Caenorhabditis elegans: one gene and its partners. The protein of the gene in region 2 interacts with the protein of the main gene of each other region in a pairwise test. Each region holds a gene or a part of one and is shown on either strand. Other genes may lie near its edges.

What was found.
Region 1: the proteins of pcf-11 (region 2) and ape-1 interact in a two-hybrid assay, tested with the Caenorhabditis elegans proteins (one large-scale study listed by BioGRID).
Region 3: the proteins of pcf-11 (region 2) and ephx-1 interact in a two-hybrid assay, tested with the Caenorhabditis elegans proteins (one large-scale study listed by BioGRID).
Region 4: the proteins of pcf-11 (region 2) and unc-57 interact in a two-hybrid assay, tested with the Caenorhabditis elegans proteins (one large-scale study listed by BioGRID).

The regions. Positions count from the first base shown.
Region 1 is NC_003283.11:11,673,318-11,679,926, forward strand, and holds the start of ape-1 (Apoptotic enhancer 1 protein), read left to right. Parts: upstream 1-2,620; 5' UTR 2,621-2,644; coding exon 2,645-2,704; intron 2,705-2,938; coding exon 2,939-3,070; intron 3,071-4,677; exon of another isoform or gene 4,678-4,882; intron 4,883-6,395; exon of another isoform or gene 6,396-6,603; intron 6,604-6,609. UniProt on the Caenorhabditis elegans protein: Negetively regulates apoptosis via its interaction with cep-1.
Region 2 is NC_003281.10:5,022,645-5,031,013, forward strand, and holds pcf-11 (Polyadenylation and cleavage factor homolog 11), read left to right. Parts: upstream 1-2,699; 5' UTR 2,700-2,763; coding exon 2,764-3,054; intron 3,055-3,738; coding exon 3,739-3,837; intron 3,838-3,918; coding exon 3,919-4,140; coding exon of another isoform or gene 4,141-4,386; intron 4,387-4,406; coding exon 4,407-4,468; intron 4,469-4,710; coding exon 4,711-4,938; intron 4,939-4,983; coding exon 4,984-5,561; intron 5,562-5,609; coding exon 5,610-5,929; intron 5,930-5,978; coding exon 5,979-6,551; intron 6,552-6,600; coding exon 6,601-6,699; 3' UTR 6,700-7,003; downstream 7,004-8,369. Other genes in the region: R144.3 (C2H2-type domain-containing protein), read left to right, coding at 1-130, 175-323, 376-463; R144.13 (Coenzyme Q-binding protein COQ10 START domain-containing protein), read left to right, coding at 680-708, 757-949, 1,010-1,072, 1,124-1,330; klp-6 (Kinesin-like protein), read left to right, coding at 8,305-8,369.
Region 3 is NC_003280.10:4,002,563-4,008,956, forward strand, and holds the start of ephx-1 (SH2 domain-containing protein), read left to right. Parts: upstream 1-2,351; coding exon 2,352-2,455; intron 2,456-4,179; coding exon 4,180-4,269; intron 4,270-4,318; coding exon 4,319-4,528; intron 4,529-5,329; coding exon 5,330-6,116; intron 6,117-6,199; coding exon 6,200-6,298; intron 6,299-6,394.
Region 4 is NC_003279.8:4,672,103-4,680,428, forward strand, and holds unc-57 (Endophilin-A homolog), read left to right. Parts: upstream 1-3,032; 5' UTR 3,033-3,036; coding exon 3,037-3,372; intron 3,373-3,645; coding exon 3,646-3,774; intron 3,775-3,822; coding exon 3,823-3,975; intron 3,976-4,356; coding exon 4,357-4,544; intron 4,545-5,567; coding exon 5,568-5,622; intron 5,623-6,465; coding exon 6,466-6,750; 3' UTR 6,751-7,305; downstream 7,306-8,326. Other genes in the region: T04D1.2 (F-box domain-containing protein), read left to right, coding at 7,569-7,661, 7,711-7,790. UniProt on the Caenorhabditis elegans protein: Involved in synaptic vesicle (SV) recycling in neurons probably by regulating clathrin-mediated endocytosis. By controlling SV endocytosis, regulates the rate of excitatory postsynaptic currents (EPSCs) at neuromuscular junctions and thus locomotion.

The DNA of each region.
Region 1 (6,609 bases), on a different chromosome or scaffold from region 2:
TAATAGTTTTTTTTCAGTTTTATCTAAATACATACGCAATTATATTTGCCGACCTAATCGATATCGATCGCGAATTTAAAACTTTCTCCCTAACGTACCTTCACTGACATCGCGTCGAGACCCTTTGCATATCAATGTGAGTGCGGCTTTAAAACGTGCTACTGTTCCGGCGGCGTGTTGTTCATTTTCTTCTTGTTCTTGTTTTTCTTTTTCTTTTCTCTCATGATTTTTCCCGATTTTTTGTTATTTAGTGGCTTTCAATAATCCCAACTTCTTCAATTTTATAGTTTTTAACGTAAAAATATCAGATTTCAGTCGTTTCCTACTGTGTTTTCTTTATTTCACAGTGAAATTTAAACAATACATCTTTTGAATACTGAAACCAGCTGTTTTCTCAGTTTTTCTTTTCGTCACACTGATCGCTGGAAGACAAACACGAATTGTTCATCACACATTTTTTTTTCTCCCTTTTCGGCGAAAAAACCGAAAGAAAAAGTTTTCCGCACCCTTGTGGGCAAAACGATGAGCTCGCTCGTTTCGCAGGAGAAAAGAGCGCCGAAGGTATTTACTTTTTGGATGTCTAGCTTTCGCTTTCTGTGATAAAGATCTCACCTATAGCGCAATATTTCAATCATTTCCGGCGATCAGTTCAGAAATGACGTATTTTCATATTTCCCTCTCTCCGTCTCTTCTGTCTTCCTAGTCACTCTCTCTCATTAGAATAACGGTCGCTCTCCTCTGACCTTCTTGCCCTCACAACAAACGCACACAAATATCCTTTTCTTTTGCCTGTATTCAACAGAACCGATTATGCTCTGCGTCTCTTCAATCAACTATGTCTCTCATGTGCCTTTTCATTCTGCGTATCTTCTCTCTAATGCACTCCCGTGCTCACCTTTTCCGTCCCTCCATTCCTGTACTCACATCGTTGACACGCCCGAACGGTCGAACGGTCCGTATGAGAAATTGGTTCAGCCAGCTTCCTTCTTTCTACCTTTTTTTTGTTTATTTTGGATAAGGAACTCTGAATTTTAATTTTTACTTAAAATATTTAAACGGCTTTCAATTTACTTTTAAGTTATTGACAAAGAAAAACAATCATTGAGCACATTTCCAATAGAAAGTGCACTCTTCTTGTTCCCACTTCAAACAATTGAAATGTGCGGGAGCAAAAGCTCCAATTCGCTTCTAGTTTTCTCCTTGTAGCGAACAAAACAATGATGTTCTTTTCATTTGGACAAACTTGATTTGTAATTTTATATAATCGATGCAATTAAAAAAAATTTTCTCTACCGCGAACCTATTTTAAAAACTCAAAATAAAATCCTGAATTAAAAGAACCGGAACATTTTTACTTTTTCCTTTTCGTTTCCTGATGACCATTCGAGTTTCGTTAGTGACAAGAGAAAGAATTTGTCGAAATTGAGTTTTCTCCTCTTCCTTCCACTCTTTTGTGCTTGTTCTGCTTCCGAAGCAGCCAATTCTCGACTGAATAGGCCACTTTCGGAATTATTTCAAGTGGACCTCTTCCTTCCTCTATTCATCATGCACTCTTCTACTTCTGCCCCCATTTTCGCTCAATTGTCAACGATTTGATCATCAGAAAAATAATTTTTCGCAACTTCACTTTTTACGGACCATAACTAGCAACCCACATTTACCGGTGTTCTTCTCCTATTTTTGGTCGTTAATCAACCGGTGATCCATTTCAAGGTTGATGTCCCCGATCTCTTTTTCAATGTCTGTGTATCTCTCATTCTACACCGAAAGCCGTTTTGGCATTGTGCCAAGTCTCTTTTTGAAGATATGTGGTACGAGACTGTGAGAAATAAGAAAAGTTTGTTGATAATAAACGAAGCGAATAGAGAGAGGCACAGAGGGACGACCCCAATATCTAAGAGGCCGTGTTTACTTTGGCTCGTCGTCATCTTTCGAACCAACACATGCATACGCTCCCTTGCGCGCGCGCTCCTCTGATCATTCAATCGCAGGTCCTCCTTCTCTTCGTTATTTTTGTTACGGCTCGTTCTTTTTTACGTTTTTAGCATGTGAGGCGTTTTATCAGCAAGTTTGAAGTTTCAGCAAAATTTCATATGTAAGTTATTAACACCTTATCACTGATTAAACGGTATTATTACGAAATGATAATAATTCGTAATTAGATACAGAAAACTATAATAACACGGCTACTTGATAATTTTCATTGTTATGTTTTTGGACTCTCTCCTGATTTTTCTGTTTCAATGGTTCAATTCCTCTTTGATCATTTTTAATGGCGGTGAAATATTATTTTTGTTCTATAATATCTTCAAACCACCGTGTTAATGTGAAAAATTAAAAGAAGTTTGTTTTTATTTTGAAAAATTGAAAATTGTCATAAATTTCACGAAAAAAAACGGTCGAAATTCTCATTTTGGAAATTCAAGCATGGAATTTAGCCAAAATTTAAAAATTCAATTTTTCGTTGTTCTTCGATTTTATTCGTTCTTCTTCTGTGGCATTTCTGAATTTTAGACAATTTTGGATTTTTTAAAGAAAAGTTCAGTATTACGATTCACGTTTGCTCTTTGTCATTTTCTCTCAATCCTTTCAAACAAAATTATACTAATCTTCCCTCCATTTTCAGATCTCAGTTCTCAACGAGATGGTCACGACCAGTAGCGGAGGGGGTATAGGGTACCCGGCAAACAACGGTGTCACACAGGTGAGAATCGAGATTAATTATTTTTCAAATTGTTACAAAAAGGGATTGATCTATTTTTGTAAATCTTATATTCACGTGATTCATGAAGTACGTGAACTGTGACGAAATCATAATTTGTTTAAAAAAAAATCTAAAAATAAAAATTTCAGTGTCGATAAAAATTTTTCAAAAAATATTTAAGGTCTACTGTTAGATTAGCAGATGTTTGACGATTATCCATTTTTCATATTCCAGGTGTCTCTGATTCACTCGTCGGATTCTGTACGAACTGTTTCAACTGCCCCAATATACCGTCCGACGTCATCAATGGCATCTACGATGGCTCATAAATCTTCGACGGCTCCGTTCATCTCCGCAAATCAACGAGTTAGTTTTTTTTGTTTGAAATGAAAAAATGCGGAACAAAATTTTCAAGAAACGGAAATGCTATTAAGATTTTATTAGAAAAAATTGAAAAAGAAAACTCGATAACGGAAATTCTTCATATAATTCAATTGGTTTCTCCCTTCATCTCAACAATCCGTTTGATGGATGATGGCTAGGTTCTGATAATTTGTAGTTTTTTTGCGGGGAGAGTAACGGAATTCTTTGAATTTTTGCATCTCACGCAATTGTATCATCACCTTCCCAAAAAAAGATAGTCAGAAAAGGAGAGAACACCTCAATAGCGTATCTTAGCGTAGAAAAAAGTCATCTAATTTTGATTTGAAGTGTCACGTTTTGTTTTTTTTTTTCTGCCGGGCCATAAGTCAGGTAGGCAGACATCAACGCATCACAATCGCCATAAAATAATGATAAAAATATTATATTTTAAGATAGGTCCTGGTTTGAATTGGTTAAGATTGTCGAAGATCAGAAACGGATAGGAATGCATCAGAGATTATTAGTCTCGCGTGATACCTTCAGATGGATCAAAATGACTTGCTTTTTTTAGTTGATCGAGATTGATTCGGAAAAATTTATACCAATCAAGTAAATTTTTGATGGAAATAAAATCAGTAAATTTTTGATTCAGTTCCAGAATACTCGGAATATGCCTACAAACTGAAATTTCCCAAAAGAAAAATAGAAAAAATTAAGAAAGATCAAAAATTCCAATTTTCAAAAACGCTCTTTTTCAATTTTTTCCCTATTTTAATTTCCTCCAAAAATAAAACTGCGATCAATCAGCATTTCGCTCCGCCCACTTTTTTACCAATCAGACGAAGACGCTGATTGGTTCGAAACTGGGTGTGGCTTCGAGATATGTAAATTCACACTTTTCAAAGTTGGAATTTTTGATCTTTAGTAATTTTTTCTTTTTTCTTTCGTGGTATTTCAGTAAATTGGAATTTTCAGAGTTTTCTAAAAATGTATCCCCATTTTTCGAAATCCTCCTTTAAGATTATCAAAAACATTTTCATAAAATAGTTTAGTCAATATAAAAATTCAAATTCCTGATGATAAATAGTCTTTCCATAGGTTCACGACCACTTTTAGTTTAAAAATTTCTCTTTTTTATCTTTCGGTACCTAATCACCACATATCATTGATAGTAGTGAGTGCTCTTCGTGGATCGGTCAATTGAAAGAAGATGCCAATTGGCGTTCTCCCCTTCTTACTTTTGCCCTCCACGAAATTGAAACAATTTTCTCATCATCTTCATTTTCTTCTTCTCTCGTAACAGAAAGTCTGACCTTTGAAGAGAGACACAGAAAGATAGACGAAGTATTCGTGTGCGTACGCCGTACGCGCCTTGCCGATTAACCTCGATTTATCATTCAAGCTTTCCCCTATATTGGATTCTCCGACTTATTTCTTCATTTTAATTCTCTTCTATTTTTATTTTCTTGACCCACTGGCCAAAAGCTCTTCGTGAATATTAAAAAGTAAAAAAAAGTTCCTCCTCTAGCGTACACGAATATTTTTTGTTGATAATAGACAACAACTGTTTTATTTTTGTTTAATTATTTTATCAAAAAAAATCTGTGGCTGTGAAGGAAAGATCGCCAAAAAAAAACTGGTCAGTCGATTAATTTTCGATTATAAATTTTGTTTTTTTTTTTCACTTTTCACTCACTTCCTTCTCATCGTTGCATAGTCTTGCGCACGTCGGCAACGCGTATTACAACTAAATTAATTGCGCAATTGTGTGAGTGAACGCGTGTGTGAGCGTACGCTTCTCTCGGCTTCTTCTCTTTCAATTCCATCATCTTTCTATGTTGTCGTCGTAGAGTCGCATAAAGTTATAGATGTTATTTTTTTTCTTGTAGTGTAATCGAGACTGTCGTCAAGTCATTATGCATAATGATATGTATTACGTGTTAAGCGTTATTATTCTACAATTGTAAAGTATTTTTTCATCTTCGCGAGGCTGTCGGTGACTGTTCAATGATTGTTGTTGTAGTATTTTATGACAGAAGATACTATTCTATGGTGGCAGCCACTACAAATAATGCCATACTCTTTAAAATATTCTTGAAAAAAAACTGATTAGAAATTTTGAGAATCGCTTCATTTAAGTAAAACATTTTTTTTTGATCGGTCAAAATGGGATACATGTTTGGTTCGCCGAAATTTTTCTTTACTCTCTTCCGGTGTTTAATGTTCATTTCTCTTCCGGTGGCCCGAAAGAGTTCTAAAGCTAAAATGTGACATGTGATATCATCATTTTGAAAACACTTGTTTTTTTTTATCTTCCGTTCGCCAACACGACTTTTTTCTTATTACCACATCTGATCCAATTGAAAGGGAAACCGATTTAAGTAATATAAAAGTCATCTCTTGCATAGGTTTGAAGTGTTGAAGTTTTGACATTTACTTTTTCATTCTGTAACTTTTCGTCGACCAGTTGAATCCTTTTTCTATTCCGTTAAATACATTCAGCTTAGTTTCATGCTTTTCAATACACCAACAACCATCAACACAATCGTTGTCCGAATCGCCTCAGTTTGGTATGCGATTTAATGCGAATTGTCGGTGACTGTCGTAGAAATTAAAATCAAAACAGATTTTCTTCTATTATTTTATGTTTGCTAAATTCCTCAATAGTTTGTTCAAAAGCGTCTTTCGTTTGTTTTGAATTAATTTTTAATTCACTCTTTCTTCTACTTCATTATTAATTTTGTGCGAGAAGTTCGTCAGATCATCATGAGGGCGCATAGACACAACATTTACGACATGTTTCACTTTCGGGATTTTCAATTGAACAGAACACCACCAGCACGAAGACAACGACAACGATCCACACTTTGTTCCAAAATACACGTTCCTTCCCATCGTAGGGCCTCCTGCTGAGCTTTTTATCCTATCAAAGAAGCTTCTTGTCGAAAAGGAGAATATATTTGAAATATTAATCTTTGTTTGAAATTATCAAATTGATAATTTAAATAGGTTCATGTTTCATAGACTAATTCAAATTTCATTCTATTTCTCTTTTTGCCTCATTTTTACTCTGAAACATTACCTAGTGTACAGTTACCAATAACTGATAGACTCTCTAAATCCAATAATTATCTCACGGGCTCTTTCTGATTCAGGGATATTAATTTCTGCACCTGTCAAATTCGTATTCCAAATAGATCCTAGAATTTAACAAATTTAGCCATTTTATATATATAATATTCTTGCTCTTGATCATTAACACTCGATTTCCACTGAAAGATCAGATCATGACGCTCAACTATCTGTGCTTGATTCCCGTACTTCCGATACTTTTCGCAATATAGATCTCGATTTCTCGAGTGCTTCCTATAGTGAGCCGTGTGCCGTCTCCTACTGTTTTCTTATTGTTTTGATTGTCTCGACAACAAGCCGCGAGAGACCACGTGCGGCCGCTGCCCACCAATAGAAACGATATTTATGTCTCGTAGAGTCTTGCCGACTGTTTTTTACGCTTTCCGTGCGCGCGTCGGCAAGCTCCGATG
Region 2 (8,369 bases):
CTGTGGAAGATCATTCGAACGAATCGAGGTGCTAGCATTCCACGTGTCATATGCTCATCAAGATGTAATGTCTGCTGAATCAAACAATTTGACATGCTTGTTGTGTGGAAAGAAATGGACGACCGTTCGAGTATGCTATTATCAATTGCTTCTTCTGAAAAATAATACTTTCAGAGAAAAATAATGCACCTTTCACTTGCACATCGAGAAATCGGCGAAGAGCATAACAGTCAGTGTATGCTTCAAGTGGAATCGGTTATTGCTCCAAATGCACCAAAGGCTCGGAGATTGGTAAAGGCTAGGATGGCTTATGATGATAATAGGTTGGTTTTTGACTCGATTATAATTTATTTTTAAATTTTCAAAATCTTTCAGACCGCCTGGTGACCCTAAATATGATGGATTGGATCCCTTCTTGGAAAGTGATAATCCCGAAGATGATGAATATACTTATGACACTTGACGTTGTTAATTTTCATGAAAAATCCTAATAAACGGGTAAATTCTGATGATTTTTTCCCTGATTTCAATTGATCCCTTACAATCGTATAAATCGAGCCACTAAATTTTTGTATCTGTTCTCATGAATTTTTTTTTGAAAAACAAACTTATCAAATAGATGTTATTGCGTCGTCTCGGGCAAAACCTGATCCTAAATCAGAGAAGATTTTCCAGTGAGATGGCATACTCGGAAAAACGATTGATTGGGTAAGTAATTTGAAGTATTTAGACGTCGAAAATTATTTAAATTTTTAGATTTTCCCGGGACGAAATGTTTAAAGTCGTGTCTGATGTATCCGATTATCACAATTTTGTTCCATGGTGTCGGTCGTCTACAGTAACCCACGAGCACGAAAGCTCACAGATTGCGACGCTGGAAATTGGGTTTCCACCACTTTCAGAGAAATATTCGAGTCGTGTGATTCACATTAAGCCATCTGTTGTTCATGTTAGTTTATTCAAAGATTTCTAAGAAGGTTTCGGTTTTCGATATTCTATGTGTTTACAGTCTGTCGTCATAGAAAATGATAATCTCTTCCGCACACTTGACACTACGTTCCGGTTTGGAAAAGTTCGTTCCATCAATTTTTGTTAAACCTCTATTAACGTTCACCTTTTTCAGGGAAAACCATCTGTTGAACGCTCATGTACTCTTCACTATGACTTAGTTTTTGAATTCGAGTCAGCTTTTCACTCAAGAATCGCTCATCTTTTCTTCGATAAAGTCGTAAAAACTATGGTTTCAGCATTTTTGCACCGCGCTGAAAAGCTTTATGGACCACCGGAATTCCCACACTCACCACCGCAGGTTTTACAGTACAAATCTTGATTTTTTTAAACTTAGTGACACTGTAATCAGAGTATTTATTTGTAAATTTTAAATTTTTTTTTCTTGCTTCTTAAATAAAAATGTAGATTCAAACTTTTATGTTCTAATTGAATAAAAACTAGCCGTTTCAGCATCGGTATCCTTATTTTTCACTATTTTTCTCAATATTTTTCTGCGGTAGCGAAACACCGATGTCCCGTTTTCTTCGCAAAATTTCGAATCATTGGGCTTCGCTTCTTCGCTCTTGTCCCGTTCTTCTTTCGTTTGCATCTTTTTTTCAACTCTCACTTTCAAATTAATATGGATTAAAACTCGTTTCGATTAAAATCTTGAAGCGAGTTCATCCGAATTTGTACAAATAATTGTATTGAACATTTAAAGACACATTCCTTATCTAAAAGCGACGTACCATGCTTTTTGAAGTCAATTAATTTTTCGGGAATTGCTCTTTAATATAATTTCTCATACTTAAAAAAATTCCTCACTATCAGAACAAGTAAAAACCTCCTGGCTCCCGTCAGCCGTTTCACAGCAAGAATCAATTGCTGGCAGCTACGAAAATGTTCTCTGCGCCTCTTCACACTCACCCGGTCGCTGCGAGACCCGCGCAAAATCGATTGACACGCCTCTACCACGCGCTTTTGTCTCTCTTGCCTGTTTTCTGTCTCTTTCGTTCATTTCTCCCAGTTTTCTTCAAATATAACGCCGTTTCTTTGCAATTTTCTCTATATGTGCTTTTGCTAACTGATTTTGTCATCTTATTTTAATTAAAATTACTTGCTAATACACATAATTCTTGTACATGTTCCCCTCCATCATCTCCTTTTACCAATTTCCTTCATTCCATCCACAATCTCTCTCTCTCTCTGTTTTTACCTCCTCGTTTCTTGTTGCGTTTATTGATCCATTTTTTCACGTCACTAATCAATATTTTCCAGATACGCCGGACTCGACTCGAAAGACAGCGCGCAGACTGTTTGGTGCGAGAAGAGGCGGACCTCAGACGGTGTGCAGTCACCCTTTAAAAAATATACATTCCCTTCCCATTCCCCTATCCCCCTTCCTTTTATGATTTTGTCCTCATTTTCTCTAAAAAATAATAAAAATATATGGAAAGTCACTTTGTCAGCTAGACTTTGGGTTTCTTGACTACTCTTCAGTTGCGATTAGCATAATATTCGCGCTTGTTGTATCAAGCTGTTGGCTCGCCTGCGCGTTTGGAGCATCACAACTTCCTGTATGTTCGTGCGGAAGTTTTGAAGCTGCCCGCCGTTATTTAGTTTTTGCTCGGGACGGTGCTATAATCTCGTTGACTTCTCCCGTTGTATTTTTCACGCAGTTTTTATTTTTCAAAAATAATTAATTTCAGCACGTGAAAACGAATATCCGGGTTATTTTATTCACCTTCGTAAATATCACAATCAATATTCATGATGGAATCGGTCGAATCGGCAGCACGAGACTATCGTGAGACGTTGGCCGAATTGAGAAACAACAACAAGACTCAAATAAATCTGCTAACTATTCTGGCTGACGACTTCAAAAAAGCAGCTCCACAAATTGTTGAAGTTATTGAGCGGCATCTGACAACGTGTTCTCCTTCACAAAAACTGTTAGTGATGTACGTGTGTGATTCGATTTTGAAGAACGTTAAGAAGCCGAACGATTATGATGCACTGTTTGCAAGGAAAATCGTAAGCATGTTCGAGCATGCTTTCCGACAGGTAATATATCAAAATTAAAAAACATCGGTCTGTCTAATCTAAGCCTTCCATGAGGGTGAGTTTTTACCCTCCCTACCCTACCCTCTGCCCTACCCTACCCTACCCTATGCCCTGGTTTTACCCTGTATTAATTCATTTTTAACGTTTTCTTAGAAATTTCATTTCTAAAAACGAAAATTTTACAAATAAAGCGAATAATGCTTAAAATTCGTATTATTACGTGAAGGCATAGGGTAATGTGTCCATAAAATACCCTGTTCGGGTAAAGGGTAAAAAAGGGTATCAACGTGCCCTACCTTTTTTTTACCCTCACGGAAGGCTTAGTCTAATCTAGCAAAGCACGCAAAAATGCAATCCAACAACGTTTCGCCAGCTTTCATTGCGGTAGTTAACAGATTTTTCGCGCGCCTTTTTGGATCTAGAAGATAAGGTCAAAACTTTCTCAGCTACAGACCGGGTCTTGTCGCGATTGAGTACCGTAGTTTTCCACAAAATGTCCTGAGAAGTTAAAACGTTTTGTTTCCAATTTCGGTGTAAAACTTTTTCCTGCTACTTCGCACGACATTTTAGCGCGTATAGCTGAGAAATTTAAATGAAGTTTCGCAAAAAATATCTACAAAGTATGTCACGTTAATTTCGCTTGCAATTATTTTTCGAAATCATTTTGAATTCTAAACATTTCAGGGAGATGAAAGAATCCGTACATCGTTGTACAGGATACGAGTCACATGGGCCAGCACCACATTGTTCATGCCTTCAAAGTTATATGAGCTTGACATGAAGGTAAACTTTCAATTTCAGATCCTGAAATCGAGCTACGATTTCGCAATATCATTGCTAATGATATTAATATTTGTATTTCAGATCAATAAGCTTGACCCAAATTGGCCAATTTCAAATCCACAGACTGGTCGTGCACTTCGTGATGATCCACAAGTTATGGCTCCTTCTCAGAGTAGACCAGCAGGCAATGCCACCAGTCCAGCGGCTTCCACGTCAACGAATCGTGTATTTGTGAACCCAAAGTTCATAGGTTCATCCACACCTGGTGCAGCATCAGCATCAAAGACGGTCGTGGAAAAAACGGTAAAATATTCTTGTGAACTTTTATTTTCACACGTTTTTCAATGTATCACTTTCTATGTTTTGTCTTTATTTTTCCACATATCATCTGATCGTTTATTTATTATGAAAAAAAAAGAAATGCTTTATCTATCATTTTTCACCGGAATCATGGAAGTTGAGAAAATAAGCGACAGAATTGGCAAAAAACACAATATTCTTCGTCACTGTTCAAATAAATTATTTCCAATTGGGTGGGATATTTGTTGAAACCGCTTATGTTATTACAGAAATCACCTGGCACAGTAAACAAGGAAAAGCAAGTGAAGAAAGAACCAAAACAGGATCCACTGTAAGTTTAATGTCTTAGGCGTGTCTTGGTGTTACAATTTGGTATGTAATGAGAAGAATCGATGTTTTAATTTTGAAAAAAAGTAATTCAGAAACAAAATGAATGAAAAAAAAAATAAAATAAATCTGTGTGAAAGTGTAACATTGAATAAAATTTCACAGTAATTTTGTCATGATCAGCTAGTCCGAAATAACACGCTTAAAAGATTAGTTTTATTTCAGTTAACAAAACATTTTTTCCAGTGACAAACTACTTCCATCAAGCTCTGCATCCAAGACATCATCATCACCGGCTGGATTGAAGCGAAAATCAGCACCATCCGAGCATCCAAATGCTCCGATTCGCAAGAAGCCACAACAACCACCAAAGCCACAGACAGCCATTGATGAGGATCTCAGATCTATAAGCTTGACGAAGAAGCCGCCAGTTCCATCAGCACAAGATCAAGATTTCCGACCAAAGACTTTGAAGTGAGTATTTAGTCTAAACTGTTTTAAAAATCGAAAATTTTGCAGGCCAACATCAGTGATAGGATCTCACGCATTTGCCCCTGTAGCTGCTCCGATCCGTCCTATGATACCTGTGCCACCACCTGTTTCAGTGGCTCCATTTGTGCCTGCTCCGCCACTTTCGTCTGCTCCTCCATTCCAACATCCTCAACAACATCATCCACAACTTCCACCTCCACCAGTTCATCAAGGAATGGGAAGAGGATATCATCATAATTCGCCTCCACAAGATCCGGCACCAATCGTTCCAGTTCAAGCTCCACCTCCACAGCAACACCTTCCAGCTCCAGAGAACGTTTACTCGTCAGAACAACCGAAACTCGATGTTCCAGCCAACAACCGTATCTTTGTCGATGGAAAAGCTTATGAAGTGATGTTTGTCGATGATACTGCAGTTATCGAGCGTGGTGGTGCTCCACATCGTATTTATTTCGCTGGACCGCCAAGAAACCTCGTAATTGATGGAATCCCACACTTGCTTCAGTTTGACACTCCAACTCAAATTGACATATTAGGATCAAAGCATATGGTCAAGTTCGGAGCACCATCCCGCGAACTTTACATTGGTGGTCACCCATTCAAAGGTAAATACACATATTTTCACAGTTTTTAATTCATATTCGAACTTTCAGGTCAATTTGGAGGACCACCGATCATTGCAACGATCAATGGACGTCGTCATGAGATCCGATTGACTGGAAGTGCTCCAGAAGTTCGCATTGAGCCTGAGCCAGCATATCATCTTACTCATTTCTTGCACAAAATGCGCGAGGAGAAGAAGATTGAAATTGCATCGGAGAAGCCGGAGAAGAAGGAGGATTGGCTCTCATATCTGAAAAATTTGAGAACTCGTAATATATTGCCAGCTCCGGCCAGATCGCCATCTTCGCCACGCAACCAGACTCCACCACCAGCTAATCTTCCAATTCCGGGAATGAATAATGCTGGACAGGTAATTAACTATCAGGATTACAGTCTCTTAAATAATTTATTGTTTTCAGAGAGGAGGTTATCATAACCGTCATCAACCACAACAGAACGCTAGATGGGGTGGAGCGAATAAACAGCAGAATATACCACCACCACCATCTGATCCATCTCCAATTGGAAGTGGTGTTGAGAAGCGAAGTGCTCCACCGGCGGCCATCACAGATTTCAATATTCGTCTCTTGCAAATTCGTTACGACTCGGTCGTTGACGCGTTGATTACCAAGAGAGCCGACGCTTGCAAGTTTTGTGGAATGAGATTAGATGATTCTCAAGGAAAGTCAAAAGAATGGCAAGATCATATGGATTGGCATGTGAAGCAAAATTTGGCACGCCACGGGTCGAACAATTCGGCAGCTGTACCATATCGTCAGTGGTATCCATCGACATCCACTTGGCTTACACCACGTGCATCTGATGAAACGAATGAGCAAGAAGCTGATAAACCCGAGGAACCACTTCCAGGAGTAGCATCTTCCGGTGTTAAAACCAAAGAATGTTCAGTTTGTGGTGAGAAGTTTGACGAGTATTATGATGATGACGAGGAAACGTGGCGATTAAGGGACACAGTTAATGTTCACGGAAAGGTGAAAATTTGTTATTCAAAACTCGTGAATTTATCAAGATTCATTACAGATTGTGCATTCTGCGTGTGCTTCCGACGCAGCTCGATCACTCGACAACTCATCATTCTTCAACGACAGTGACATCAAAAAAGAGGAGCCGTTCGACTGAACATAATTGTTTTTTTATTGAGCCTTTTTGATGGGCATTGTCTAGTCATTGAAAATATTAACAGAAATTATAAAATTCACCAAAAAATTCATTAAAGCATTTTTCCATATGCTTTAAAATTTTCAAGCATACCAAAGTTTTCCTGTTTTCTTGTTTCGTTATGGGTTTTTTAGTTTTCATTTAGCTTACACCCCCCCCCCCCCCCCCCCCCCCCCAACGTCCCAGACAATTTCAACAAATCTTGGTTGTGATTCCGTTTCAAAACCTCACCTATACATTTTCTATAAATAAAGCAAATTATTTTTAAAAATACCTTTTATATATATTTTTCCTTTTCCACCCTCCAATTTATCACATTGAAAATAAAAATCATAAAACCCCCGTTTTTCAGAGTCGACGACTTCAATAATTTTTATTTGCTTTTTTAAAATTATTTTTTCGTTTTGTTTTTTTGGTCGAATAAATCTATTAAAATGGGAAATATAATTGTTTTTGTTCACATAACGAGAATTTCAGAGATGTAGGTTCTGGTCAATTCCGTAAATCACTGACACTCCAAAGTTATGAAATGCCGCAAAGACTACTGTAGGCAGTATCAATTGAATCAATTGTTAGAAACCTGTTTCGAGAAGTTTTGGAATATTCGTATTTCAACATTTTATTGGCTCTAAATTGTTCAAAAATCTCAAATTTTGGAAAGTTTGGTAAGTTGCCAAAATGACTAGATACTTTTAAATATCTAACACGTTTTGGAGTTTGCTACGATATTCGGGTTTTTTGGATAATTATATTCATAAGTAAAAAATCGGATAAATGCTGTCAAAGTTGAAATAAACTATCCGAGGCTTTATCAAAAAATCAATTGTTTTCAGAAATTCTGTGCATTTATTCAACTTTTTGTTCTCTGATTCCAATCTTCAATCTTCATTAAATACAACTTCATACAAATTTTTCTTCTTCACATCAAACACCGTTTGGTCCGTTTCCTTTCGTCGCTTGGAGACCTACATGGCAACATTGACTCCACGTGTATGTAGAAGAAGGGTCCCATTCTCCACGCTTTACTACACTCTATACTGAATTTTCCATTTATTTTCTTGTCCTTTTCATTTTAAAAACATTTTTCCGTTCGGATTTGTTTACAAATTTTGTTCTCTCTGATAGAAGTATTCAATTATTATACTTTTAATCTGTAAATTAAAAAAAAAAACTAAATCCTTTTCTCATATCACGGGAACAATAAATCATGAGAATGCGTACTTGGTGCATTTTATTTGACGCGCGATATCTCTTATCGAAAACTACAGTAAGAGCTTAAATATCTATTGTTATTTGAGTTCTTACTGTAGTTTTCGCTAAGAGATATCGCGCGTCAAATAAAATGCACCAAGTACACATTCTCATGATTTATTGTTCCCGTAATACCAACCAATTATTGCGACGCAATACCTTCATATACATTTTTTAATTTTAAAAATTTTTTTTAAAATATAGTTGAGATCCTTGTTGTAGTACGGTAGTAGTACGAAGATATTCCAATGTTTCTTTAAAAAAATTTTCCAACCAAATTTAGTTCTAAATTTATTAGTTGAACTTTTCAGAATAATGGGAAAGGGTGACTCCATAATCGTAGCAGTTCGGGTTCGACCTTTCAATGATCGAGAAAAGAC
Region 3 (6,394 bases), on a different chromosome or scaffold from region 2:
TTCCCAAAAAATGTGACGTCAGCACGTTTATATCCATGTAAAATCAGTTGAAAAGACAGCGTCTAAATTCCCGCAATTCTTGTAGATCAAACCGAGATGGGACATCCTGACGCCACGTGGGCAAGCTTATTAAGCTAAATTTGCTTTTTGAAAATTTTTAGAATTTTTCGTTTTTTTAAGAAAAAAATTTGACATTTCTTTAGACATTTGTCTAAAGAAATTATGATACAATTTTTAGTTAAAAAACCCGATTAATTTCCAAAAAAAATTCCAGAAAAGTATAATCCCTCTAGAAATCGATAAAGTAGTCAAATATCTGAAATTGTCTTCTTTCGGAGCTAGCTTGAATATTTTTGTCAAAACCTCAAAACTTTTCAGAAAAATTTACACAATATTTTCGTACCTATAGAATTTCCAGGAACACCTAGCAGAATTTTTTAAAGTTATTTTGATCAACTAATAATTCAAAAAAAAGTTCAAAAACCGGAAAGTGTTCGAAATCATTCAAGAATGTGTGTTGTGTATCTGTGATTGTGCAAATAGTCTTTTGTTACGCTCGTTTGAAAGTTCAAATATTTGATTCTGTGTGGGAGGTCACGGGAGCACAACACCTTTTAAAATAGTAGCTAGAAAACTAGTTTTAAAACTTCTAAACTTTAAAAAAATCTGAAAAGTTCTAGTTTTGACCTTTTTCAAATACCAACCAATTTCACTTTGTCATGGCTTTTCCGTATGTGTCACCCTTCCCCTCGGAACAATATTACTCTCGACTAGCAAGCTGTTCATCAATCAAATTTCATGAGTTATGAGCGTAGATGCCATTCTGCGCTTTGTAAATACGTAAAATTCAAGGGTTAGCTTTTTATGCGATTTATACTTTTTTGAAAGTTTTGAAAGTCTGAAAATTTAGCAAAAATTCAAAAAGAAGGATATGCTTAAAGCCCTAAGAATTTTTCGTTTTAACCTTGAGGATTGGTCGAAATTTAATGAAGGTCGAAGAGAAGTCTGAAATTTTGGAATTAGATACTTAGATACTGGAGACGAGCCTAAGCATAGTCCTGAGCCTAAGAATAAGCCTAAGCCTGAGCCTTTAGACTTTCTTGTGAAGCCTGAATCTAACTAGTAACCCTCCTAATAAGCATGAACTCTGAGGTAGAAGTGGTGCTCTTGAAGCATAAAAAAACAAAAAAACTCAAGTGCAATATTGCAATATCCATTTCGTAGTCCTCTCGAATGTCACTCACCCATCAACATTGTGCTCGCGGTCAGTAAATGCAAATTGCAATCCTTGCCTCCCGTATGTTTTTCACACATTTTCCTTATCCATCTGCGTCTCCTCGTCTCCCGATTCTCGCGCATTGACCACCACTGACCATGGTCTCGCAGGAGAAAAGGCGCTTCCTGTCGTGTGTTCTGCTCATTGTGCAGCACTTTTGAAGATTTTGCAAAATGCATATTTACTAGGAGAAGCTTTGTATAAAAATTTCACTTACCATTTAACCTCACTTCAGAAAAAGAAATGTAATTGACCCCCATTTTTCAAGGTTTCTTTGTTGTTAGAGTCTATTGTACTAACTTTTTTTATTCTTTTAAGTACTTCACACATTTCTTTGGCAAATTGGAAAAATGTTGAAAAGGGGGTCTGTATTAAGTGCTGGTCTGGAAGTAGCCATTACATAGCTGAAGCAAAGTAGCCGAGACGGCTAGGTCGACAGACTAGTTCTGTTCTTTCTGAATAAGCTTTTAAGAAATATTTTTATAGTTTGCTTCTAATTGTAATGGCGCTCGGCAGGCACTAGGCATGCACTAGGCAGACACTAGGCAGGCAGAAGGTAGGTTCTAGGCAGACATTAGGCTGGCACTAGGAAAGCACTCTGTAGGTCGTAGATAGGAAGTGCCAAATAGGCACTAGGCAGGTGCTAGGCAGACACTAGGCAGGCACTAGGTAGGCATTAGGTAGGCCCTAGGCAGACACAATGTAGGCAACCCCTCCTCGGCTTATCATTCCCAAAAGCTCTTGAAAAGGAAGATGTTTTTTTCATCATGAAAATTTTTTCCGCGATTTTTTGGGGAAGTGTGTATGTGGTGCGCAGTATAAACATTCGCCCCAATCATCATCAATATTATTGTGCTCTTTTTCCCACTTGCTCTCTCGGGGGGCTCCACTCACACATTCAAATGTTGAATCAAGCGATTAACCCATCGAGAGTTGTTGCATGCATCTCCTCTGTTTTCTTTTCCTCTTTTTCTCGCTTTTTTTGAAAAAAAAACTCTATTTTTAGATTAATAAAACATAATCAAATAAATATATGAAATTTACAGTGTCTGGGGGTAATCTGAGCCAAAATCTAATGTCCAATGCACCATCAACGACGACATCAGAAGCCCAGAAGATCGCGACAACGACGACGACGACGAAAATGCGATTGCCCAGTGTTAAGGAACTTGCCAAGAGGTAAGACAGCATTTTTTATAGGATTTTGTAGAGTGTAGAGATATTTTAAGGTTACTGTAGAAGTGGTACTATAAGGTTTTTGGGGTACAGTACTGCAGGGTAGTAGGGTATAGTAGGGACACTGTGGGGGTACTGTAGGAGTACGGTAGGAATACTGTAGGGTACTGTAGGAGTGATATAGAGGTATTGTAGAAATACTGTAGGGTGGACTACTTCAGGGGTACTGTAGGTACTGTAGGAGTACTGTAGGGGCAGTGGGAGGCTTTCACAGATGTAGTGCCGGTAAGGGCACTGTAGAGGAACTGTAGGAGTACTGCAGAAGTGTTGTAGGAACCTGTTCGACTATTTTAGGAGTACTGCATAGGTACTGAAGGGACAAAATGAGGCTTTTACTGTAATAACATCTGTAGTACCAGTTTAGGGTACTGTAGAGGAACAAATTGGAGTACTGTATAGGTATTGTAGGAGGATAACTGTATGGGTACTGTATGAGTACTCTAGGATAACTGTAGGGGTACTGTAGGAGTACTGTAGCTTTTTCCCACTTTGTACGTGTCATCGTTGCTTATTTTCAGCCAAACTTTTACCAAACATTTATTTTTGAAAAACTGTCCCCGCCTGCTTGTTGACACATAGATTCTATCCATTTTTTCAAAAAATATTTATTTAAGTTTAATTTTGGCAGCTCATATCTAAGTTGTCATAGTTTTTTATCAAAAAGTTCTTAACTGAGAAAATCTTGGTTTTAAATTTTCCAATAGTTTTGCAATTGACCAATTTTGGATATTTTTGAATTTCACCGGAATATACATAAGCTGCCAAAGTGTAGAACACAAAATTTTCATACCAATAGAATAACCAGCTAGAAAATTAACTTTTCTCTTGTCCTATGCTTCTTCGTTTAAAAAAAAAGTTTTTTGTTTATATGTCTGCAATTCAATTTCTGTATGATTGTCAAACAAATACTACTTTTCCTCCTCCTTCACACACTCACTCCAACACAGTTGTTCTCCAGCCAACAATAGCAGCACATTACCCTTCGGTTGATTGACATAATATATTGAAACCGGACAGGAAGAAAAACGGTTGAAGAAGTAAAGAGAGACCGAGGGCGTCGTCATTTCTTCCAGAAGCTTCTTCGTGGGAAAATTGTTGGAGTTTTAGAGATGGTTCGGAGAAGTTTGGCAACTTTTTATGAAGTTTTACTCTAATATCAGCTCAACTTTGAAAGCTTAAAAAAGCATTAAAAATGTTCAGAATCTTTTGGAAACTTTCTCCAACTTTCACCCAAACTTCAACTTTAGGATGTATATTATTTGGAATTTACCATCTCCTAGCTTTAGCGCCTGCCTGCCTAGGAACCTACCTACCGCATCCCTCTCTTCATTAGTACATCTCTGAAGAATTTCCAAAATGTGTATGTCTCCCCGCTCCCCCTGCCTTATCACCATCATTTTATTATTATTGTTATCAAATATTCCCACCACGCCTCATCACTGACCACTCCTTTTTACGATATGGTCATTTGGAGAGATTGTTAAACAATTTTTGAGTTTGCCGAAACGTTTCGTTTTTTGTAGTATTATAGAATGTAAAATTTAAAAAAAATTGCGCCAACCAATCAGCGACGTTAGCCACGCCTATTAGAATACGCTGATTAGTCGGCGACTTGTTGAATTTGCAATTTTAAAATTGATCTTCCAAAAGCTATTTCCGATTTCCAGATTCGAAACCAGCACAAGCCGAATTGAGCACCACAAACCGGTGATCTCCAAACGAATCGGCAAGTTCCGGGTAGTGGAAAACCTTCACGAGTAAGTAATTTTCCTCTTCAGTTTTGCTCTTAATTTGCTTGTTTTTCAGGCCGTGCACATCACGAGTGCTACGTGGAAGCGCCATACCGCGACGGAAAAGTTCGTTGAAACGACGAACGCGGAGCAACTCGGAGCTCGCCGTCCTGGTCACATCTTCTGAATTTCGGAAGAGCAAATCCACTGGCGACTTTTCACCGACGGGTGCCGGAGCATCGGGTGCTCCAATTGTGATAACACCGCTACCTGCACCTAGATTACGGTAGGTGAAATGAGGGGTACTGTAGGAGTACTGTATGACAACTTGAGGGGTATTGTGGATTACTGTAGAAGAACTGTGGGGGTACAGTAGGGCTACTGTAGGGTATTGTGGGATACTGTAGATTAATGTAAGATTACATCGTGGGTACTATAGGAATACTGTAGGTATTCTGTAGGGGTACTGTAGTAGTACTGTAGGGGTACAGTAAGGTTACTGTAGGGTATTGTGGAATGCTGTAGGAGTGATGTGGGGTACTGTAGGGGTAATTTTAAAAAATAATGTTTTTAATCAAAGTTTTAAAGTTGTTCTGAAAATTTTCAGTCTAAAACTTTATTTTAAATAATTTAGTTTGAAATACTATACAAAAATTGAACTTTTGGCAATTTTGAAGCTTTATAAATTTTACAACAATAATCTTTTACAACAATATCTTCAAATAAAATTTCAAAAAATTCAAATTTAAAAATTTCAATTCAATTTCTCTTCAAAACATTTCAGTTTCCAAAACCTTCCGGCTTTCAAAATCTTGATTAAAGTTTTGAAAAGTTACTTTTTTTACTTCAATAGAATACAATTTTATAAAAATACAAAACAGACAAATTTTTAAATAGTTCTTTATAAATAAAGCAAAATTTCAATGAAACCACTTCGAAAAACCATTAAAAATTTCAAACAAAAAACTAATTTCTAAAAAAAACTTTTTTTTTCAATTCCACCCACAGTGACTCATTTTTCGAATGTTTCAAGGTTCTCTATGATTCACGAATCAGAAATGTAAATAAGAATCCCTTTCTATTTCAGTCTTCAAACAACAAGCATGATTGTTGAAAGTTCCCCTTCTCCATCTTTCCATTCCAAAAAAGATGGTCACCCAGTGTACGAGGAGCGGTGTCGAGTGTCCTTAACAATTCCAATTTCTTCGTCAGAAGATCTTTCCGCTGTATCTCCACCACCACCTCTACCATCTGTACCTCCGTCTAAGGAGAGGATCAAGAGGATTCCTTCCTACCTGAAGCCTACTCCCGCGCCGAGGTCTATGTCTGCCACGCTGCCCAGGGCTCGTCTGAAGACCCCACCACCTCCACCCCCAGTTACCAATCAATTTGACACCCTGCCGGTCAGTTTCCGGAGCAGCTCAACATCCTCCAGCACAGGAGGTCTCCCGAGAATCCCGAATATCCCCGTCCCAGATGTCCCTTTTATTCCACTGGATGACGACAACTGTTACGATGAAATTATGCTGGTCACGCCATCATCAAACACATGTATACCTACACATCAACGTCTAGAATCCGAGTACACCTATGAATCTCAGTCTACCGACTTTTCAAGGCCGGAGCCTCCTAGAGCCTCCGGGTCAGAGCCCAATTCAAGCAGACGGGCTTATCCTCGGGATGAGGAAATCTTTGATGAAGCTGAAGAGGAGCTTCTGGAAGAACAAAGATTTCAAAAAGTGCCGGAAATCAAAGAGCGCTTCCTTTCCTCAACTCTCCAAAGGAATCCAAAATCCTCGAAAAGGATGAGCTCAATGGAGCTGGAAAAGCTGTTCAGGTTCAAGAGCGAGTTGCAGCTTAATTTGTCGAAAAAGGTTGGTGCTTTGTTTTTTTTGTTCCTTTTTGGGTATTCAGAAAACAAAACAAGAAAGACAAATCAAACTAATTCTGATTGAAGGTTAGCCAATTACGGCAGAAAGTCGGCGACAAACAAGCGAAGAGACGATCAAAGTGCCACGTCAGTGTTGATCTACTGGACACTGATTTTAGTTCTATGGTGAGTTTTTTGAGAAAAAATATCCAGAAACTAAAAAAATTTATTTAAAAAAATTTGAAGTAAGTTTTTTGAAAATAATTTCTGAAATTTCTAGGC
Region 4 (8,326 bases), on a different chromosome or scaffold from region 2:
TTTACGACAAAAATGGTGCAAATTGTTCGCTTAAGCATTATACAGCAATGAATCTCAAAATCGCAATGAAATTTAAAGTGAAACACCCGAAAATCCAAGAGGAAAGTTGAAAATTAAAAATTTCAACTTCCCAATTTTTTTCAAAAATGTTTGCGCGGGGAATCGTGCGCGTTGTACGCAGACATCACGACGTCATATTGCGGACCCGTTTGCAATGAAGCACCAGCCAGCTGACATTGCGGTGAACGCCTTTTGTTCGATGATGTCACCGTTTTCTCTCGTTTTTTTTTGTTTATTTTGGTATCTTAAAAATTACATTAACAGCAACAGAAATAGCTATTTTAATGACGTATCTGTGTACCTTTCTGCTTTAATATTATGATTTTCGAGAAATATGAGCATTTTAAAGTTTAATTAGATTCTGAAGTCCTGATGTTTTGAAGTTCCTCATTCTAGAATGCATTCTGGTAGTTCTAAATTAACGGAAAGCATGAGTTTTAGATTTTGAGCGGTTTTTTTCTTTTAATTCCCTGCTTTCCCAATTTTTTTCAAATATCCGCAAAAATATTCCACATTTCTATTTACTATCACATGATCCTACTACTAATTACTTTTAAATCGAATCATCTAGACTTCCTCAACTTCATCTGACTCATCTTCAAATGTAAAGTTCCTCGGCGTCTTTCGCAATGTTCTGAATGTTGTCGATTTCCTCGCGTAACCTCTGCTATCTGTTAACGGGTGTCTTCTTATCAGTTTCACTTTTTCTTATTTTTTTAGTTGTCAATCTCTTGCTAGTAGTTCCCTGATTTTTGAAGAAAAAAGCTCGTCCCAGAAATCTTGCAGAGCTGGAAAATCATTAAAATCCATATTCCTTCTTTGGAAGCGGTCATTTTCAAAACTTGTATATCGATTATATCTTCAAATTTTAATTTTTTAAAATCATTTTACCCAGTTGTAAACAAGTTTTTCATGAACAAATAAAAAACAGCATGAAAAGCATAATCTTGGTAGACATAAGGGTTAGAATTTTGCCTAAAATTATAAAAATGGACCGAATAAATTCAATAATGTAAAAAAAATGAACAAACATTTCTCAAGTTTTCAGTTTTCCATAAAAAATTATAAATTTATGTAAAATTATCGATTTTTAGACCAATTTTGAAGATTTTCTTTCGGGTTATCAAGTTTTCTTTACGAGAAAATGTCATAAATTTTTTTGCAAAATTGAAAAATCATTGGTTTTTTTTCTTGAAATTTAGAATAATTTTATAAATTTTTAAACACTTTTTTAAAATTCGACCATTATGCTCCATTTTCTAGCATTTTAAGCAACCCCGTCTTTAAAAAGCTGCATTTAAATTATATTTAGCTTTAAAACTCTTTTTATGCTAGGAAAGTGAAATTTCGTTAATCATTATCCAACAAATGCTCTCTGTCGGGATAAAATTTAACTTTTCCAATTGTTTTCCAGATTTTTCCAAGTAGCAACCCTTGAGTGTGCCCAATCATTATGCCTATCCACACACACAAACATTAAGTAGTGGGTAGGCTAGAGTCTTTCATGCACAAGCAAATATACACCGATTCGTCTTTTTTCCCTCTATCTGCCACATAGATAAAAGAAAGAATAACCTTCTCCTCCCCCACAACACCACCACCACTAACGGCGTCTTCTTCGTCTCAGTTTTCTTTGCTTTACGTAATCTACGTCTTCTATTTTTTCGGGGTGCTCTCTTCGGTTGGAACTATGTGTGAGAGTAGTGTGTTTCGTGTGTCTGTGTGAGTTTTTCCTCATCTTTCTCTCTCTTTTCGCGCGGAAAGAGGGCGCCCGAGGTCGGAGAAAAAAAATGAAAGGCAGAGAGGATGGAGGACACAGAGGAACGAAACGAAAATAACTGAATCGATACATCTGTGGGGTTGGCGGTGTTGAAGAGAAGAAGACGAAGAAGAAGATGAGGGGGTGGAGCTCTCCGTGCACAACGGCTTCTCCTCCCCCATCTTTCTCTCCCGTGCTTCTCCTTTTACTAGAGTCCGGCGTTGTGTTGTGTGTGTGTGTCCCCGCCTTTTTCCGGAATACGAAAGTAGGTCTAGTTAATGGTTAACTACCTCTCTTGCTCCGAAGCAGGCTTTTTCTTTAATTGCTTCTTGCAACTTTTCTGAAGCTCTACCTTTCTACTGGGAACTTGTTTTCTTTGAAATTTAGAGTTTTTAAAACTTCCTTCAGTTCTCATTCTCATGCTTTATAACCATAAAAGTGTACATCAGAATAAATCCTAGATCATAAGATCATTCACATTAGCATTTCTTTTTGGAATGCTTTTTCCGAGAAAACTGCACTTTTGAGGATTTTATCTTCGAACTGAAAATTCGAGTTGTACTTTTGAAAAAGTTTGTAGCGATCTACCTGATGTCAGTTTTATTTTAGATTTCCTGCACAGTTTCTTTCATGAATTTATAATGTTCAACCTTTAGTTCTCTCAGTTTTAAGGTTTAATGCAAAGTTTTACATACAGCCTGAGGGTCTGTGGATTTTTTTGTTTTAATTGATAGAAAATACCAGATTATACCTATGAAAAATAGTTTTTAAATTTCAAAATTTGATGAAAAATCCGAAAAAAGTGCCAAATTTTGCTTATAATCGAAATTTTTCTAGAAAACCGACCAAAATATACAATAAAGATAAATATTTTGATTAAAAAAAACTGTATTCCAACTGCTGAAACAAGGGTGGAAATTATTTTTACACTTTTTAATTTATTATTACAAAATCATTAGAATTTATAATTTTTCAACAGTTTTATCTGATCTTTAAGTGGTATTTTCTTTCATTTAAAATAAAAAATCCACAGGCGAAACTCCAAGAATTCAAGAAGCTCATTTTATCGAAACTTTCAAATCTTGCTCACCGTGATTCCCAAGTGTTTTAAATCTAAAGGAAAATAAGTCTGGTTTTTGAATATTTATTTTCAGTTGTTTTAATTATCAATTAATTAACATGTTATTCCGAATCTAAAACTCAAAATTTTCAGAAAAATGTCGTTGTCGGGGTTACGTAAGCAATTCAACAAGGCGAATCAATACCTTTCGGAGACGATGGGCGCCGCAGAGCCAACAAAACTTGACGATGTGTTCAATGAAATGGAGAAAAATGTGGATACAACGTATAATTTAATTACGGATCTCGTCGCCGGAACAAATGAATATCTTCAACCAAATCCAGCTACTCGAGCAAAAATGGCCACACAAGTTGCCCTGTCAAAAGTTCGTGGAACTACAAAAACGTCACCGTATCCACAAACAGAAGGAATGTTGGCTGACGTCATGCAGAAATATGGACAACAATTGGGTGATAACAGCGATTTGGGAAAGGTTTGCCATCCCTTTTGGAATTTTAATTTCTGAAAAAAAACCCATTTTTTAGCAACATTTGTCAATATTTGTTCTGTGAGCAATTTCTGAAAATGTGACCAAAATACAGCAAAAATAAAATTACTATTTATTTTGTTTATATTAATAATTTAATTGAAACATTAGGTTGATATTAGAAAACCACTACTTCGGTATTTTTTAGATTAAAATTTTTTGCACGGCTTCAAAATCTTCTTAATCATAATTTTAAATTACAATTTTTTTCAATTCCAGAGCCTAAACGATGCTGCAGAAACGTATCGACAAATGGCTGATATCAAGTATCAAATGGAGGATAATGTTAAACAAAACTTTCTCGATCCATTAACACATTTGCAGAATAATGAGCTGAAAGATGTGAATGTAAGCTTTTTTGCGTAAAAAAGGGTTTATTATTAATTCATTATTCAGCACCACCGCACAAAACTGAAAGGACGTCGACTTGACTACGACTGCAAAAAGCGTCAGCAACGACGTGATGATGAGATGATTCAGGCGGAGGAGAAGCTGGAAGAATCAAAGCGACTCGCTGAAATGTCAATGTTCAATGTGCTTAGTAATGATGTGAGTTTTACGATTTTTTTTTGGAAGTTTTTACTATTTTCCCCTATTAGACTTGCTATTTGACATCGGTTACCCTTAGTTTTATTTTTAAGAAGGATTATTCTCAAACTTACGAATATAACAAAAGAAAAACGGGAAAAATCCGTTAAGATTTCGAATTTTTATGTCAGAAAAATCAACGAAAAACCTTCAAAATTTAACTAGCGAAATCATAGGCCACGAGGATTGTTCGAATTTTGATCCTGTTCTATACTATGTTTTTAATCAGTATTTTATACAATTCCTTTCAATATAAGCTGTCAAAGTTTAATTTTTTTTTAATCTGCTGAAATTTTTTTCCACTTCCCCTTTTAGATATAATCACAAAAAAATTCTTTTCAGGTCGAGCAAATATCTCAACTACGAGCCCTCATTGAAGCCCAACTCGATTTCCACCGACAAACAGCCCAATGTCTCGAAAATCTACAGCAACAACTTGGCCATCGAATCAAAGATGCAGCTGCCAGGCCTCGTGAAGAGCATGTTCCATTATCAGTTCTTGCAAATGAGAGCAGAACTCCAAGATCCAGGTTGGTATAAGCATGAAGAGTGAGAAAATGCATGTTTGTTGTGAGATTTTGAACGCTCAAAAAGACCTAGTTTTTAAAAAACAGCTAATTTCTTGAGATGCACTTTTGAGATTCAGCTGAAATCTCCAATTTCGCCAACATTTTATTGAAATGGAGCTGCCCCAAAAAGCTGAATAAACTACCAAAAAAAATGTTGAATATTGGAGGATTAATTGAAATTTCGGGCCGCTGTGGCACGGAAAAATTGGCAAAATTGAAGTTTTTTAAAGCTAAATTTAGATTTTTGTTTTCTTCTCAAAACTTTGAAACGCCATGAAAATTGTACGAGAAGTTAGAATAGAATTAGTTATTTTTAAGAAATTTTGAATTTTGAGTACAGAGATTATTTCATAAATCTACCTGAAAATTAGTTTTTTCAAAAGATACGAAAAAATATATAAAGCCGGAACTAGGCGTTTTCCATTTTTGTTTTCGATTTAAAAAGGTCCCACGCATCATAAAAAGAGAAAACCCCCTGTGCTCTTAAGAAACGGAAAAAGCACTGAAGCATCATTCACAAGTAATAAAAAGGAGGAAAACATATGAAGCACAGACATAGACATGCAGAGTCTATGATTGATTACATCGCATTATGTCTTTTTACGGCCGGAGGAATACTTTTTTGGAAGGAATATGAATGTAAAAAGATCGTTTAATGACTGATTGACACGAAAATATTGAAAAATTGAAATGTTTTCGGTGTTTTTTAAGCTAGACTAGTTTAAGTTTTTTTGAAAGTTGAGAAATTTCAAAAAAAATTATTAAAAGAAACAACGTAAATTTTGATTTTTGATTATCTTTGAAAAAACCGAAAAATTGAAAATTATTCTACGACACAACCAAAAAAACATTCTAAATTTAATTTTAAAAAAATAAGAATTAAATTTCGTTACAGTACCCCCCGCTACAGTACTCCCTGATTCATATTGTGATTGATTTTTTATTTTTTGCATGCTAAAAGCCTCTTCCAAAACATCTCTTCAGTTTCAGATCGCCTGCTCCATCGGATATGAGTCACAATTCTACGGCAGCCGCAGCCGTACGTTTTTTTGTTTCAGAAAAAATTGAAAAAAGTGCGACTTTTCAACAAAAAAAACACGAATTTTGGAGATTCAGTTTTTCGGATTTCAATTACTGAAATTTTTTGGAAAATGGTATAATTTTAAAAAAACACTTGTAAAAAGACCGGAAAATGTTTAAAAAATGTTTTTGAAACATTTATTGAAAAATCAAACTTTTCAGATATTTTTCGAGACGAGAAAACTGAAAATTCTTGATTTTTCAGAAAGCCGAAATATTGATCAATTTTCTGGATAAAATTAACCAAATATTTCAATTTTTTAGTTTTTTCTCATAAAAAACATATAATTTTTCTTTAAAAAAACAGAAGTGTCTAAACTTTTAAAGAAATTTTTCGCAAAATCAATTTCTATTCGAACCGACAAAACTAAAAATTTAAAAACGAAAATTCCAGATTTTTCGGTTTTCCGGAAATCCTAAAAATCGGAAAAATATTGGGAAAATTGACAAAAAATTTCAAACTTTTAAAAATTTGGTTGATGAAAAAAAAAAGTCAATTTTCTTCTTAAAACGGGTAAATTTTCTCGAAAAAAAACTACAAATTAAAAAAAACCAATTTTCTAAAGTCGAATTTTTTGTTTGTTGAAAATAAGTTACTTTTATAAGAGAATTGTGTATTTTCCCATCAGCATAAAAAATTTGAAGATTGAATTTTTTAAATCAATTTTCTAAATCGAAACTATTCGTTTTTCAATTTTTATTTTAAAAAATCGAAAAAGCGATACCCTTGATTAGAATATTTTGTTTTTGAATAAAAACCTAGTAATTCAATTTTCAATCCAATTTCTAATATTATGTCCAGTTTAAGATGCCACCACAAAATGGAGGAGGAATAACACAAGCACCACCATCATATCAAGGACCTCCACCAGGTGGACTTCCACCTCCACTCTCCCAGCAGCAGAAGCCACAATGCAGAGCTCTATTCGATTTTGATGCTCAAAGTGAAGGAGAACTGGATTTCAAAGAAGGAACACTGATTGAGTTGGTATCACAAATTGATGAGAATTGGTACGAAGGACGTGTGAATGGAAAAACTGGATTATTCCCTGTTACCTATGTACAGGTTCTAGTGCCTCTTAAATAAAAAAAAATGTATTTCTCCCTCCAAAACCCAGTCAATTCTTTCCATTTTTTGCTGTTTTATTGCCAATTTCTCGTTTTCTCCCCAACTCCAAAGCCATGCTCCTCATCTTTGTCTCTTGAATTTTATTTCACAAAAATATTTTATTTCCCTTTCCAAATCTCACTTTTTCTCTAGGAACCCCTGAAAAGTACTCATTTAGAAGAGAATGGGCTATGGTCTCTATGAGGCTAAAATAGTTAATTCTCCTGATCCATTGTGCCGAAATCTTTGTATTTATTAAAACACTACTTGCTTTATATACATCCACTACTTTCCCCCAGTCTGCCACACCCGATGCGTTTTCCAATAGCAATACCCTGACCCACATTACCATGTATTCTATGTACTCTCTACACTACCAAAAATGTGCATTTATCAAATCTCCCTTAAAATAGCAGCATGTTATTAGTTTTTTTAGCTTTATTTAGTAACTTATTTTCAACATCAAAAAATTCATTGCAAAATTACTTATTTTCGTAATTACTTATTTTCGAGTATATGAATTTGATTTTAAACTATTTTTTTTTTGAACTCGGAGATGGAAAAAAGTCAAATTTCTTGTCTTATCAATTTTAAAATTGTTTAAAAAAAGAAGTGGATGAACAAGAAAATCAATAAAAAACTGAAATGAAAACGAAATTTCGAAATATCCGGAATATTATATTGTCCACGAGGAGTACTGTAAACAGACACCCAGTTATGTTATTAGTGACGTCATATACTTGCACCATCTGCTCTCATACCTGTGCACCATATATCTCATCGATTTTTTTTTGAACATGAAACGAATGCAACTATCATTTCGTCCATTTTCTTCACTATGGAATTCAAATCGAATTAAAAAAGGTAGAAGTTGTTCCAATCAGAAGAAGGTAAATTAAATTAATTTTTATTTGTTAGATCAAAAACTATAAGTTTCAGAAATGTAACTCTTTCAATCTACTCCAACTACCATACCTAGCATTTCGAATTGTTATTCATCAATTAAGTATTTTTTCAGTGTAAGTTATCCCGTGGTGTCAGACTGTCCCATTATGGTTTGATCTACAAAAAAGGCGGGATTTTTTTGCCCAAAAAATGTGACGTCAGCATTTTTTTAACCATGCGAACCAGCATGGGACAGCCTGACACCACGTGAGTTATTCCAACATTACATATCGTACACCCTTCAATGTTAGTTATAACATAAAATCACATAAAAATTACGGACAAATCGAGCGAGAGTGAGATCAACTACATTAAAAACGTTTTAATTTTAATTTTGGCTGAATTTTTTTTTAGAAAATCGCAGTTTTAATAGTTGTATTTTCAATTCTTTCTCGACGCTCTAGAGTATTTGAACAAAATCCCAATCTACAGTGTTACAAAAGCCAGTCTGAGACAAATACTGCCCAGTTACGGAAATTCGTGATTCTTGACCGGTCTCGGCACGAACGAAATTTGTAGCCACTGTACCCAACAAGAGTTTCGCAATTTGCTTCGCTCTTTTTCTTAAAGGTTTGCCCAAACAATATGGTTGAGCCCCCGTAAAATGCCA